Linked DNA regions of Ovis aries. The protein of the gene in region 2 interacts with the protein of the main gene of each other region in a biochemical or structural test. Links are inferred from orthologs where the notes say so. Each region holds a gene or a part of one and is shown on either strand. Other genes may lie near its edges.

Region 1 (6,488 bases), on a different chromosome or scaffold from region 2:
TTTATTTTCTTTTAACTTGTAATAGCATTGTTTTATAAAAATGACAATAAAAGTTTTATTTTTTTTGAAGGATCTTTAAGAACTTTTCAGTAGTATGATTACATACTGCTATTTCTGCCATATAGAAACTATGCCAACTAGGGATTCACCTTTAGGCTAGGTTCTATGAGGGACTCAAAGTTATTGGCTGAAGCAAGATATTATTGCATAAGGATTAATTTCATAGACTCTTATATGACAGAGGTTAAATTTCATGTCTATGACTGAGCAGCTGAGTGAACTTAAGCCAATTATTTAACTTCTTAGAGCCGCATTCTCCTTATCAGTAAGTCAGAGATCAGAACTACCTCATAGGTTTTTTTTTAATGAGTAATAAATAAGATAATGGATGTGATGTTTCCTTGACATTTCACCAAGACTATCACAATTATAATTAAATATTTAATAGAGTAATTAGTTGTGTAATGTCTGCCTCTCTAAGACATCTCTAATGTCTTATAAAGATAAGCTCCGCTAAAGCATGGAGTATCACAGAACCAGTATCCGGCACAATGTTTTGCACATAGTAAGCACTCAATAAATATTTGAATGAAGGCATGAGAACCTTACAGGAGTGGTCTCTTCCCTGGTGGCTCAGATGGTAAAGCGTCTGCCTACAATGTGGGAGACCTGGGTTCAATCCCTGGGTCGGGAAGATCTCCTGGAGAAGGAAATGGCAACCCACTCCAGTACTCTTGCCTGGAAAATCCTATGGACAGAGGAGCCTGGTAGGCTACCGTCCATGGGGTCACAAAGAGTCGGACACGAATGAGTGACTTCACTCACAGTGATAGTTTCAACTACAGAAGTATTATTGAGAGACTTCCCTGGTGGTCCAGAGGTTAAGAATGCCAGTGCAGGAGACAAAGGTTTAGTCCTTGGTCTGGGAAGATTCCACATGCCATGGGGCAACTAAGCCCAGGTGCTACAACTACTGAAGCTCACATGCTCTAGAGCCCGTGAGCCACAACTACTGAGCCCACATTCTGCAACTTCTGAAGCCCGTGTGCCCTAGAGTCCGTGCTCCACAACAAGAGAAGCCACTGCGATGAGAAGCCAGAGCGCTGCAGCTAGAGTAGCCCCCGCTTGCTGCAACTAGAGAAAGCCTGAGTGCATCAGTGAAGACCCAGTGCAGCCAAAAATAATAAAAATAAATAAATAAAAGATAAATAAAAATTTTAGACAACAACAAAATAGGAGGATTATTGAGTTTAGCCTTACCTTGGGAAAAAGACCTTGGCATGAGAAAAAGACCAAAGCAGCCCAGTACCGGCTCTAGCTGTCATAGCAGGGCTTTGTGCGCTGCACAAAAATACTTGACCAAGGGGGAAGTGGGGACTGACATCTAAGCCATGAACCAGTGGGGGCAGGGTGTACAGAGTATCTACCTGGAAGTAGAGATATCTTTCGATAATTCCTGCAGAAGTGAAGTGAAGTCGCTAAGTCGTGTCCAACTCTTTGCAACCCCATGGACTGTAGCCTACCAGACTCCTCCATCCATAGGATTTTCCAGGCAAGAGTACTGGAGTGGGTTGCTATTTCCTTCTCCAGGGGATCTTCCCAACCCAGGGATCGAACCCCAGTCTCCCTCATTGTAGGCAGACACTTTACCGTTTGAGCCACCAGGGAAGTCAATTCCTGCAGAGACACTCCCATTTAGGCCAGCAGTGGCCATGTGTCACAGAATCAGCCCTCAAATTTCAGAAACATCAAATCCTGGGAGAATATATTCAGAGCTGAAGATGGAATGGGGACATGACCAGGTGGAAAGCCTTCCTATTGAAGAGCAGTATTTACCTTGTCCCAGCCAACATCCTGGCCCCTTTCACCACCCCCCACCTCCCCCTAAGCTACTCTTTCTGGTATCTCAGCTGAACATTTAGGTGGGGTTGAGGGAAAGACTCTGTTTTTCCACTGGAGGACGTGAGTCAGTGAACAGTGAGGTTCCACTTAATCACCACCCAAAAACAAGGTTCTCAAAATTAGGAGCTAGAAAAGCAAGGAAGTGATTAATATAAAAGTCAGGAGAGTGATTATTCCTTGGGCAAAGCAGGGTAGGGTGGGTGTGGGGGCAAGGGTGGGGGCGAGGGATCTGATGAGGAAGGGACACATGGAGGTCTTCTGGGGCTGACAGTGTTCTGTTCTTTGACCTGAGTGGTGGTTACTTTACAATTATACTTGGGTTTTATGTAGTTTTCTAAATGTGTATTATCACAATTTTAAACAGCTGGAAAAAACACAAACTATAAAAGGTTTTTAAGCAGGGAAAAAAAAAATAACCAGATCACTTGGTGGTATTAAAAGATCACTTGAGTGTCAAATGGAAAATTGAAGGTAGGGCAAGACTAGAGCAGAGAAAACAGGAGGTGAGGTAGCTGCTATAATTTGGTGAGAGGTTATAATGACTGAGCTAAGAAGAGGTAAAATATCAGAGAGGTAGTCTATATTACTTTCTAAAACACAACCAAAATAAAACAGAGGCTGCCCCTGCCCCCTCAGCTTGCTTCTTACCCCTCTGTATTGGAGATATTTGGCTCAGGAGTTCTAGCCCAGGGCCAGGTACATGTTTAAGACACATAGGCCAGGCTTTCCACCTCCCCTCCCTCCCTGCTAATTCTACTAGAGGGATTCAGACTGTCTGGCCAGTGGGAACTAGAGTGTCATTTTTCATGATACCACGGTATTATCGAAGTTGAGCTGACACAGGGGTTTCTATCATAATACGAGATCACATCATGATATCTAATCACTCAAGAATCTGCAGAGTGTTTTCACATCTTACTATCTAGTCGAGAAGATCCCTTGGAGGAGAGCATGGCAACCCACTCCAGTATTCTTGCCTGGAGAATCCCATGGTCAGAGAAACCTGGTGGGCTACAGTACACAGGGTCACACAGAGTCGGACATGACTGAAACAACTTAGCACGAACACATCAGAATGTTAGCTCCATGAGGGCAAAGGTTTTTTGTTCACTGCTATCTCCTTGGTGCCTGGAACTAGATACATAGCACGTGCGCAATAAATTTACTGAATGAATGGTCACATTTAAGTATTAGTATTGATCTTTAGCCATCACAATAATCTTGTGCAGAGAGTTAGGACATAAATTATTATCCCTGTTTCAGAACTCAGAAAATAGAGACTCGGTGAGATTAAGGAACATGCCAAGTAGTTGATAATTTGGTTGATGACAGTCATGATTTAATTTTAGACTTCACACTTAAATTCTCTTATTTTTTCAATATCCTCACAACTGAAAAGGTAAGGTTTGAAGTTCTTACAGAGCCGAAACACCAGCTGGAGGTATTCCAAAATACATGATAAGTACTCTCAGACATCCTATGTCATCTGATGTGCTGGGTTATAAGATGAATGAGGCTGACCCAGTTGCCCCTGCATCAATAAGCACCGTTCTGCTGGAGGAAATACAGTGTCCCTCTAGGTAACCAAACCTTAAGCTACCTTGTGCCTATGTTTCTCTCCATCTCCCTCACCTTTCTCTACTCTCCATCCTAGCCATTCCACCTCTCCAAGCAAAAGAAGATTAAGGAAACCCTGTTCCTGTAAAAGCACATGTTCTCATATTTTTTCTTCATTTAAAAAAAGCAAAAATGAATATGGCAGAGAGTAGTTAGGGTGCTCTTCAAGAGTTTTTGTCATCCAAATGGAACCCACAGGAGGGTTCCATAAAAGCATAATGCTCCATGAAAAGTTAGTCTTGGTTTCTTTTCTCTTGACATTAATTAAAATTAGCTGTTTGAAGCATAAACCCAACTCACATACCTGGGAACTCCAGATGTTCAATTAATATCATATTTATGCAACTGGAATTATGTATGTCATCTATAGGAGTCCTAGTCAAAGTCTAAGAACTAGCAAGGAAAAGATTTAAAACTGTATTTTGGAGAGAATAACTAGAATACACACAAACCACTTAGAGAAATCAAACTTTTAGGTTGCCTTCTTCCCCTGAAAGTTCTGAAATTCACTTTATCCGACGAACAACTTGATCTATGAGAGTTGAACCACTGTCATCAAACAGTCTATGTAAATAGTCTGAGAGTGTCACACATAGAACTTACCAGAAATTCATTAGCAAACTCCTCTTTGTTACTTTTCCTGTGTTGTGCCTCATCCAGGAACTTCTGCAGAATTTCTCTTTGGTCCATACTGCAGGGGAAGAGAGACAGTCTACGAGTGGGTTAAGGGAGGGCATGTCAGATGTGTGTCATGGCCGAGACAGCACTGAGAAGCCACTGAAGCTGCTTGAGCAGAGCATGTTGAAGGCTGTGGTTTACTGACTTCATCACAAGCCCTAGAGGAAATTAGTATGTAACCAGCCTCTGTGGTCACACAACAAAGCCAGCACCCTCACTCCTGGGCCCTAGCGCCTTCCTTCTCAGGAAAGCAACCTGGTTGCAGTTCAGGTTTTTAACAAACAAGAGGGTAGCTAGAACACAACGTATGTGTGGTCTGCTTATCTCTGAGACTACTCCATTCCATCGCCTGTAAGCAAACGGCAATTACCTAGAGAAAAGGCAGAATTACAGGTTTCCTGGATGGTTTCTGCCACCTCTCATTTCCCCTGTTGACACCTTCTATTTCCTCATGTCCCAAAAGAACTCCGTAAAAGTTCTTGTGGGTCCAGAAGAGGAAACAGTTTGGAGACACTGTTTAGAGTTAAGACACCTTCTATAGCTTTCTTGTCAGTGTGATCAGTGGCAAACGTCTGTCCATCAGAGAAGGCATTTTTGTTGAATTTTTGCTTCTGCCCTATAGACCTAACTCTCTTTCAGATGAAGCAAAGTCAGCTGCTTCTGAGAGTCTGTGTCTCTCCCAGGGCTGGGGAAGTGCTCACCTCCAGTAAGGGAAGTACAGCTTTTCAGGACCCCCACCCCCACCTTCCAGCACTTTCTGAGCTTCATTTGGTTTCTGGATATAAAGACTAAGAGCCCTGGCCTACACGGGATCCACGAGCACAGTGGCCCCCATGAAGAGGACCTGACCAGGAAGCTGACACAAAATCCCCTGTGTTCATGCTAGTAAAATATGAGAGAGCAGAAAGAGAGTAACCAGGCAAGAAGGGGTTGCCACATCCTCCTCCAGCAGATCTTCCTGACCCAGGGATCAAACCCAGGTCTCCTGCATCTCCTGCAGTGCCAGGTGGGTTCTTTACCACTAGTGCCACTTGGGAAGTCCCAGTAAAATATGAAGGAACAGAAAAAGAGTCAAATCAACCACTTTGCTGACAGTAATACACCTTTTAGGGCAGAAAGCCTGAAGAACTATTTCTAGAGAAGATATATATACTCTGCAACCAAAGCCTGGAGAAAAGCCATTGATTCTGGAAGCCACACTGTTCAGGTAGGGTTTTGGCCCTGATAGGGAGGCTGTTCTAGAAAAAGCTCCCATGTATCAGCTTACATGAGTTCTCTCCTCAATGGGTACAAGCCTACCCAAGCGTGTCTCATTTGGTGTGATAACGAACCAAAAATCAGTATAACGTCTCTATTTGAGGACAGAAGATCAGTAAATAAGATGTTAACAAAATGAGTCTGAAATAATCGTGAAGAAGATTTGGAAATGTGCTGTTGGAACTTCCTCTATTTGCTATTAGCAATCCTTTCTGTTTTACAACATTATTCAAACTTTCTTTAGGAAATGATTCTGAACACTATTTGGCTGCAACTGCTTTATTGAGCCTCATAACAGGGAAGGAAAGGTCACTGAGGTATCTTGCTTACAGGCAATGTGAAGTCAATGAAGAATTTCAGTTTAGGTCCACCTAATAAAATGAACCGTATTTTCAACACTTGTTGAGAGCAGAATGTCAGAAGAGTGTGTAATTTCCTCAGTTCTGTCTCACCACCACAAAGATTTCAAACAGCGGACCAGTGTTACAGCTCTTTGTTACAGCTCAGAGTTTTATTTATTCCATAAACAAAGGATAGTACATCCTCAAGGCCTCAATCCTTCTTGGCTTCCTCTGTTTATCTGTTTTGTCTCCTCCCTGCTGAGCCTGCCCTATGCAAATTAGAGCTAGCCAGGAAGGGGGCCTGTTTGTTTCACGGGAGGTTCTCAGTCCAGTCCGTGGCTTTTCGTTTTTCCATTTTCGTGGGCTTTTTCCTTTCTTTGTCTTTTAGCCATCAGCATTTTGGACTCCTTTTTCTATTCTAACTACGTAGCAAGAGTTCAGTTCCTTTCAGTCGCTCAGTCGTGTCTGACTCTTTGTGACCCCATGAATTGCAGCACACCAGGCCTCCCTGTCCATCACCAACTCCCGGAGTTTACTCAAACTCATGTCTATCGAGTTGGTGATGCCATCCGTTGTCGTCCCCTTTTCCTCCTGCCCCCAATCCTTCCCAGCATCAGAGTCTTTCCACTAAGTCAACTCTTCGCATCCAAGAGTAACAGTTCTCAAATTATTCCCCACTAGCTTTAAATTTAG
Region 2 (6,283 bases):
CTTACTCCCTCAACTCCTTCAAATCTTTGCTCAAAATTCACCTTCTCTATGAGACCTTCCTAGTGTATCCCCTTTAAAGCTACAAACCTCCCCCAAATATGACACTCCTAATTCCCCTTTTGTTGCTCTATTTTCCCCTTAGCACTATCACCTTGCAGCATACCATACCATTTATTTATTTGTGATGCTTACTGTCTGTCTTCCCTGTGAGCTCCCCAGAGACCTTATCCACTGCCTGCTGCTGCTGCTGCTGCTAAGTCGCCTCAGTCGTGTCCGACTCTGTGCGACCCCATAGACGGCAGCCCACCAGGCTTCCCCCGTCCCTGGGATTCTCCAGGCAAGAACACTGGGGTGGGTTGCCATTTCCTTCTCCAATGCATGAAACTGAAAAGGGAAAGTGAAGTCGCTCAGTCATGTCCGACCCTTAGCGACCCCATGGACTGCAGCCTACCAGGCTCCTCCATCCATGGGATTTTCCAGGCCAGAGTACTGGAGTGGAGTGCCATTGTCTTCTCCAGATCTATAATCTAGTAAACTACAAATCTATAACCTAGTAAATTTTACCAATGATTTGTTAGACATGAAGGGAGAAGTACGCTGCTGCTGCTGCTACTAAGTCGCTTCAGTCGTGTCCGACTCTGTGTGACCCCATAGACGGCAGCCCACCAGGCTCCCCCATCCCTGGGATCCTCCAGGCAAGAATACTGGAGTGGGTTGCCATTTCCTTCTCTAATGTATAAAAGTGAAAAGTGAAAGTGAAGCCGCTCAGTCCTGTCCGACTCTTCGTGACCCCATGGACTGCAGCCCACCAGGTTCCTCTGTTCCTGGGATTTTCCAGGCCTAGTGCACAATGTTCAATAAATATTTGTTAAGTGAGTGGATTAACTCAGTGTTTAAAAACACCTTAAAGGTGAATCAGAACATATAGCTCTTGAATCAGTAGCTATAAAAAGGAAAAGGCAGTCACCCTTATACAATGGGAAAGGAAGGGTCTTGGGACACATTTACTCTCTAGGAGGTTCTGGGTAGTGTGCCCATAATTCTTTGGGGTGGAGGTTTGAAGGGGTTCAAAGAACACATACCGCAAAGTATAAGGACCTCCTCTTGGCACCCAACATCAGCAGGGCTGGAAAAAGTTCAGACATCCCTTCATCCCTCCCACCTTTCACCCCAATTCAGGGTGCCTCAGTTTCTATCTTCTGAATGTCCACTCCCCCCAGCAAGGAAGAGGAGACTGGAGTGGGGAGCAGAAAGATGTACAATCTTCACCAACAGGTATTTATTGAGCTCCTTATGTGTGCCAACACCAAAGAGGAGCACACAGAGGTATTTTAGATAAGGTCTCAGCTCTCAGAGAGCATCTTGATGACCAGGGGAACAGAAAGGGGGACAGGGAGAGGCAGGTGCTAATCACAGGCCTCTCTCCTCTCTTTGGTGGTCTTGGAAGTCAGGGGGGCGCCCAGAAAGGGACAACTTGGACAAGCGTCCAAGACATATATGCACAGGCCACACAGGTACAAGACACATGTGCAGAGCCCACCCAGCTACAGATCCCGTGTACAAGACATGAGAAGCGTATGTGTCGCACGTGGGCGGGATTCACATGCTGAGTCCAAATTTGCACAGGCCACAGGGGTGTGACACAGGAACTGCGCCTCCCCCAGCCAGGCTGGCTAGACGGTGGGAGGGCTGCAAGCCCCAGTCACCTAGGCCCCTCAGGGTTGGGGTTGGTACTGGCCCTCCGTGGCTGTGAAGAAGTCCTCCAACACGCTGCGCAGGTAGTCAAAGGTGGGCCGGTCCTCCGGGCGCTCCTTCCAGCACAGCATCATAAGCTGGTACAACTCCTCCGGGCAGTTGTCAGGTCTTACCATGCGGTAGCCTCGCTCCAGGTTCTGAATCACCTCAGGATTGGTCATCCCTAGAGGTTGATGGGAGAACTGACATCAAGGCTCCAGGCTTCGGAAGCCCAGAGGCAGGGGTGATGGTTAAGAAGATATTTGACAACAAGTATGGTGTGAGCACCAATCCAAAGGGATCTTGGTCTTCATCGATGATAAGGATAGTAAGGCTATACTGGCAGTACCTGCGAAAGGTCAGTCATGCCACTAGGAGTGTCTGCTATGGCTTAAACCTGCAGTAACACAGACGTGTTTGGCTGTGAGTCCTTGAGTGACCCACTGAACCTCTTTGAGCCTCAGTTTCCTTATTTGGAAGATGGGATAATAGGAGCTCCTACCTCCTAGAGATGTTGTGAGGATTGAATGAGAAAGTGTGTACACAGCCCTAAGGATGGTGCCTGGAGGAGGAGATGGAGCATAAAGAACACCTGTGATGATTATTATTTGGTGGGGAAGGATGAAGCCATCAGGGCCTAGCGCAGGATGAGGGCCCACAGCCAGGACAATGGAGAAGTTTCTCCAGCTTTGGAAACAGGCACATGAGATGCTACATCAGAAAGCCAGGTGGATCCTGGGCCTCAGCCAGGCAGACCCTGCATTGGGCACAGAAGATTCACTAGGCCCCTCTGTGACCCAGATGAAGTCATCTTTGGACCAGTTCCCTCCCTTTGTACTGATCCTGGCCCCACCAGCGAGGCCCATTACATGTGGACCCCAAGAGATGCTGCTCTGGAGAACTGAATGGTCACAGCAGAAATAGGCCCCCTGTTTCTAAATTACCTGTGTGGCCTCTGGTTTCTCCTTCATTCTCCTGAGAAGAGAAGCCTAACTCCTAGATGTCCTAGCAAAATAGTAGTTTTATTCCTACAAAGCTTCAAACTGGAACCTAGTCGATAGAGACCTCTCTTCCTCAGGCCTTGCCCCTGGGGAGCCTCTAGCTATGTGGCCCTCACATTTAAAAATCAGGGCATGGAAAGACATAGGCTAGGAAACAACACTGATGGATAGAGTCAAAGGTGCAAACCGATTGGCTACACCCAGCCTAAATATAGCCCACAGACAGACCTACTTTGACTTGGCCCCTTATTGTGTTTTTAAACAATCTGAATCATCACCAATATTTGGAAATGGGCACATTTTCCTAAAACTCCAAGCTTTGACTTCTCTTGACAAAACACAGCTCTGCTTTTTGGGCCCCTGTGTCTTAATAGCAACCATCTGCTGGCGCAGACGCAAGTTTACCCAGGTCCCCATTACTCCCCATAGTCTCCCTGACCCTGAAACTGTGCGTCAGTTGCCATTTATCATCATGCTTTCATTGCCTTTATTCTTCTAGTAGAAAAATTCTCTAAGGGAGCAGTGTGAGCTCTTGGCAGGATGACAAGAATATGTTTCTAGCCCCAGTGCTGCCCTTGAACTCTTCGATGGGGCAAGTCCAGACTAGGGAAGGCCTGCATACTCACATACTCACACCTAATTCTAAGGTGTTTTTACCTTCCCAGGAGCAAAGTTCTGTGCACACTGCTCAGAATGTCGGAAGCTTCTGCCAAGTCTGGCCACCAGGCTGCACGAGCTCCCGACCCTGTCTTTGTGTTCTGTTTCCTTTCCCCAGCGTTTCCTAGCAAGTTCCTTCCAAAAAAATTCCATTCCTGTCCTGGCTGAATTCAGCGGTAAAGAACTTTGTCGAGGAGATAGAGGGAGGAGTGGGAGAGAGTGGGAATTGGCTGCTTACACATCTCTCTCACTCTACATGGAAGGCTTCAGAGGGAAAGGAAGTCAGTGTTTCGTGAGCATCTACTATGAGTCAAGCTCTTTCAAAAATAATCTTGTTTCTCATATCATGAAACTGAGGCTCAGAAAGGTAAAGTCACCTGCCCAAAGTCACTTGCCCAAAGTGATTAATAATAAAACCTAACACTCTTGAGTGTTTCATATGGGTCAAATATTGTTCTAACCTCACGTTTTACAAGTGGAGAAAGAAGCAATAATCTGATCAAAGTCAAACAGAAACCATCAGTGGCAGATGGTAATAAAAAGCAGGCCTCCGGAAACTTCCGCAGTAGTCTAGTGGTTAAGACTTTGCCTTCCAATGCAGCAGGTGCAGGTTTGATCCCCAGCTGGGGAACTAAGATCCCACATGCTGCAAGGTGTGGCCAAAAAATAAAGAAATAAAACTTGGAAAAAAATGCAAAAAGAAAGCAGGCCTCTTGCCTCTCAGACCAGATCCTCTTCTACCTACTAGGCTGCCTGTGTTAGAGTTAAAGAAAAGAGCTGGGATTATTGAAGGAAGATTCAGGGACAGAAATGGAAGCCAGACCTAAGAGATGTAGCACCCGATCGGGGGTGCACGAGTGCCACCCCTAGGAGGATAGAGGGGAAGCAGCTGGAAAGGTTCATATTCTGAGCCCAGGAGGAAGTAGAAAGACATGAATTTGCTGCCCTTCCCCATCACCCTTTCAGCTCCTGCCTGGACCCCGACCTGGGTAAGGGATGCGACCATGAGTGACAATCTCCGTCAGCAGGATCCCGAAAGACCACACATCCGACTTGATGGTGAATGTCCCATAGTTAATGGCTTCTGGTGCTGTCCACTTAATGGGAAACTTGGCACCTGGAGGGAGGGCAGTGAGGTCACTGGGTCTGCCAGGCCAGACCCCAGAGACCCCTGACTTCCCTCATATCCCATACCTACCCTCCCTGGCTGTGTACTCGTTGTCCTCAATGAGGCGTGCTAGACCAAAGTCTGCGATCTTGCAGCTCAGGCTATGGGACACCAGGATGTTGGCAGCCCTCAAGTCACGGTGGATATAATTCCGCTCTTCAATGAATGCCATACCCTCTGCAATCTGCAGACCAGGTACAGGTCAGCAGTCCTAGGCCAGACATCTGGATCCCATTGCCCTGTGCCCATGCTCAGCCCCTCCCCAGTCTCCTTACTTGGGCTGCCATGTCCAAGAGTTTGTTGATAGTCAGCTTGATGCCTTCGGAAGTCTTGAGAAAATCCACCAGGCTTCCTGTGGACAGAAGCAAGAGTTGCTGACTCAAATTGCCCCAGGGGAAAGCTCCCAGACCCTTCTCCCCTAACTAGGGGTCTAGAAGCCATGTCTGATGTGTGAAAAGGAAGAGTAAGAGCTGAAAATGGAGGAGTGTGTGTTCAGAGTAAGGGTGCCTAAGATGTGTGATGCCCTTTTCTTGGGGACTAAGATGCCACTTGGAGGGGTCTGCAAGCTTCTTGTCACCAGTGGGATGGAGCCTGAACTCCTCAGCCAGGCATCCAAGCCCTGCATAGTCCACATCTGCAGTTTCTTCTCTGCCCTCCACTCCTGCCTCTTTTACTCCATCTACCCTAGATAATTGTGAGATTTTCCTCATAGACCACTGGGTTCCCACTCCAAAGTCTCTTTGTCCCATTTCTTCTGCTACAGTTTCTTTTTGGTCATGGCTCAGCTGGACTCTTCCTTTAAAAACCCTCTCTAGATTGTACTAAGAGTAATAAATTGTATCATCATCATCATCTACCTGCTAAGACTTTCCTATGGCATGAACTGGTTTTCCTAGGGTGCATAATTAAAGCAAGTTTTCTCTGATAGCAAGATTCTTATTTTGTCCATCAATATTCCCAGCCTACAATGCTTGCATGCTCCATCACTAAGCTGTATTGGCTCTTTGGTACCCCATGGACTGTAGCCCACCAGGCTCCTTTTTTCTGTGGGATTTTCCAGACAAGAATACTGGAGTGGGTTGCCATTTTCTCCTCCAGGGGATCTTTCTGACCCAGAGACCAAAATTGCGTCTTCTGCATTGGCAGGAGGATTCTTTACCACTGAGGCATGTGGGAAGCTCCTCCCAGCCCACAGTAAACAGCAATAAATGTATGCTGAATATATTAAAAGAGGAGTATGAAAATAGGTATCATGAGGGAGTGAGGGACCATCTTTCTGGTAGCAGAGGGTAACTAGGAGAAGACCAGGGATTAGAGTGGCTGGAACAGAGCTAGTAACCACTGGCCCTTCTCAAGAGCATTTGAGTGCTGAATTAGTCACTGAGACAAAACCTCACCCAAAGGCAGCAAATATGTGGACAGACGCTGTCATTCCTCCACTGTGCCCATGGCAGATATTGCTAATCAATCCCAGTGCTCACTCCCAATGAACCTCAGAATCCTTCTCAACACAGAGCTCCAAGCAACTACCAATCGAAGGTGGCCTGCTATTTGCCATCTTCAGAATCCATTAACCAATTAGCTTTTTTCCCTTCCTGAAAGAAGGATAGATCTTATATTCCCAAAGAATCAGAGCCAGATAACAACAAACTTACTGAGCCATTACTATACAGCAGACATTGTCTAACTGCTCTATATGCATTAGCTTTCATCCTCACAAAGA

The links. The genes of interacting proteins can lie anywhere in the genome.
Region 1: of the proteins of LCK (region 2) and PTPN22, one has a biochemical effect on the other in vitro, tested with the Homo sapiens proteins (3 studies listed by IntAct, with this or other methods). The link is inferred for Ovis aries from reciprocal best matches to the Homo sapiens genes LCK and PTPN22.

Annotation. Positions count from the first base shown.
Region 1 is NC_056054.1:91,177,510-91,183,997, forward strand, and holds the start of PTPN22 (tyrosine-protein phosphatase non-receptor type 22), read right to left. Parts: upstream 4,288-6,488; 5' UTR 4,210-4,287; coding exon 4,123-4,209; exon of another isoform or gene 1-4,122. UniProt on the Homo sapiens protein: Acts as a negative regulator of T-cell receptor (TCR) signaling by direct dephosphorylation of the Src family kinases LCK and FYN, ITAMs of the TCRz/CD3 complex, as well as ZAP70, VAV, VCP and other key signaling molecules.
Region 2 is NC_056055.1:235,267,006-235,273,288, forward strand, and holds the end of LCK (tyrosine-protein kinase Lck), read right to left. Parts: intron 4,913-6,283; coding exon 4,836-4,912; intron 4,745-4,835; coding exon 4,591-4,744; intron 4,510-4,590; coding exon 4,378-4,509; intron 1,919-4,377; coding exon 1,716-1,918; 3' UTR 1,258-1,715; downstream 1-1,257. UniProt on the Homo sapiens protein: Non-receptor tyrosine-protein kinase that plays an essential role in the selection and maturation of developing T-cells in the thymus and in the function of mature T-cells. Plays a key role in T-cell antigen receptor (TCR)-linked signal transduction pathways.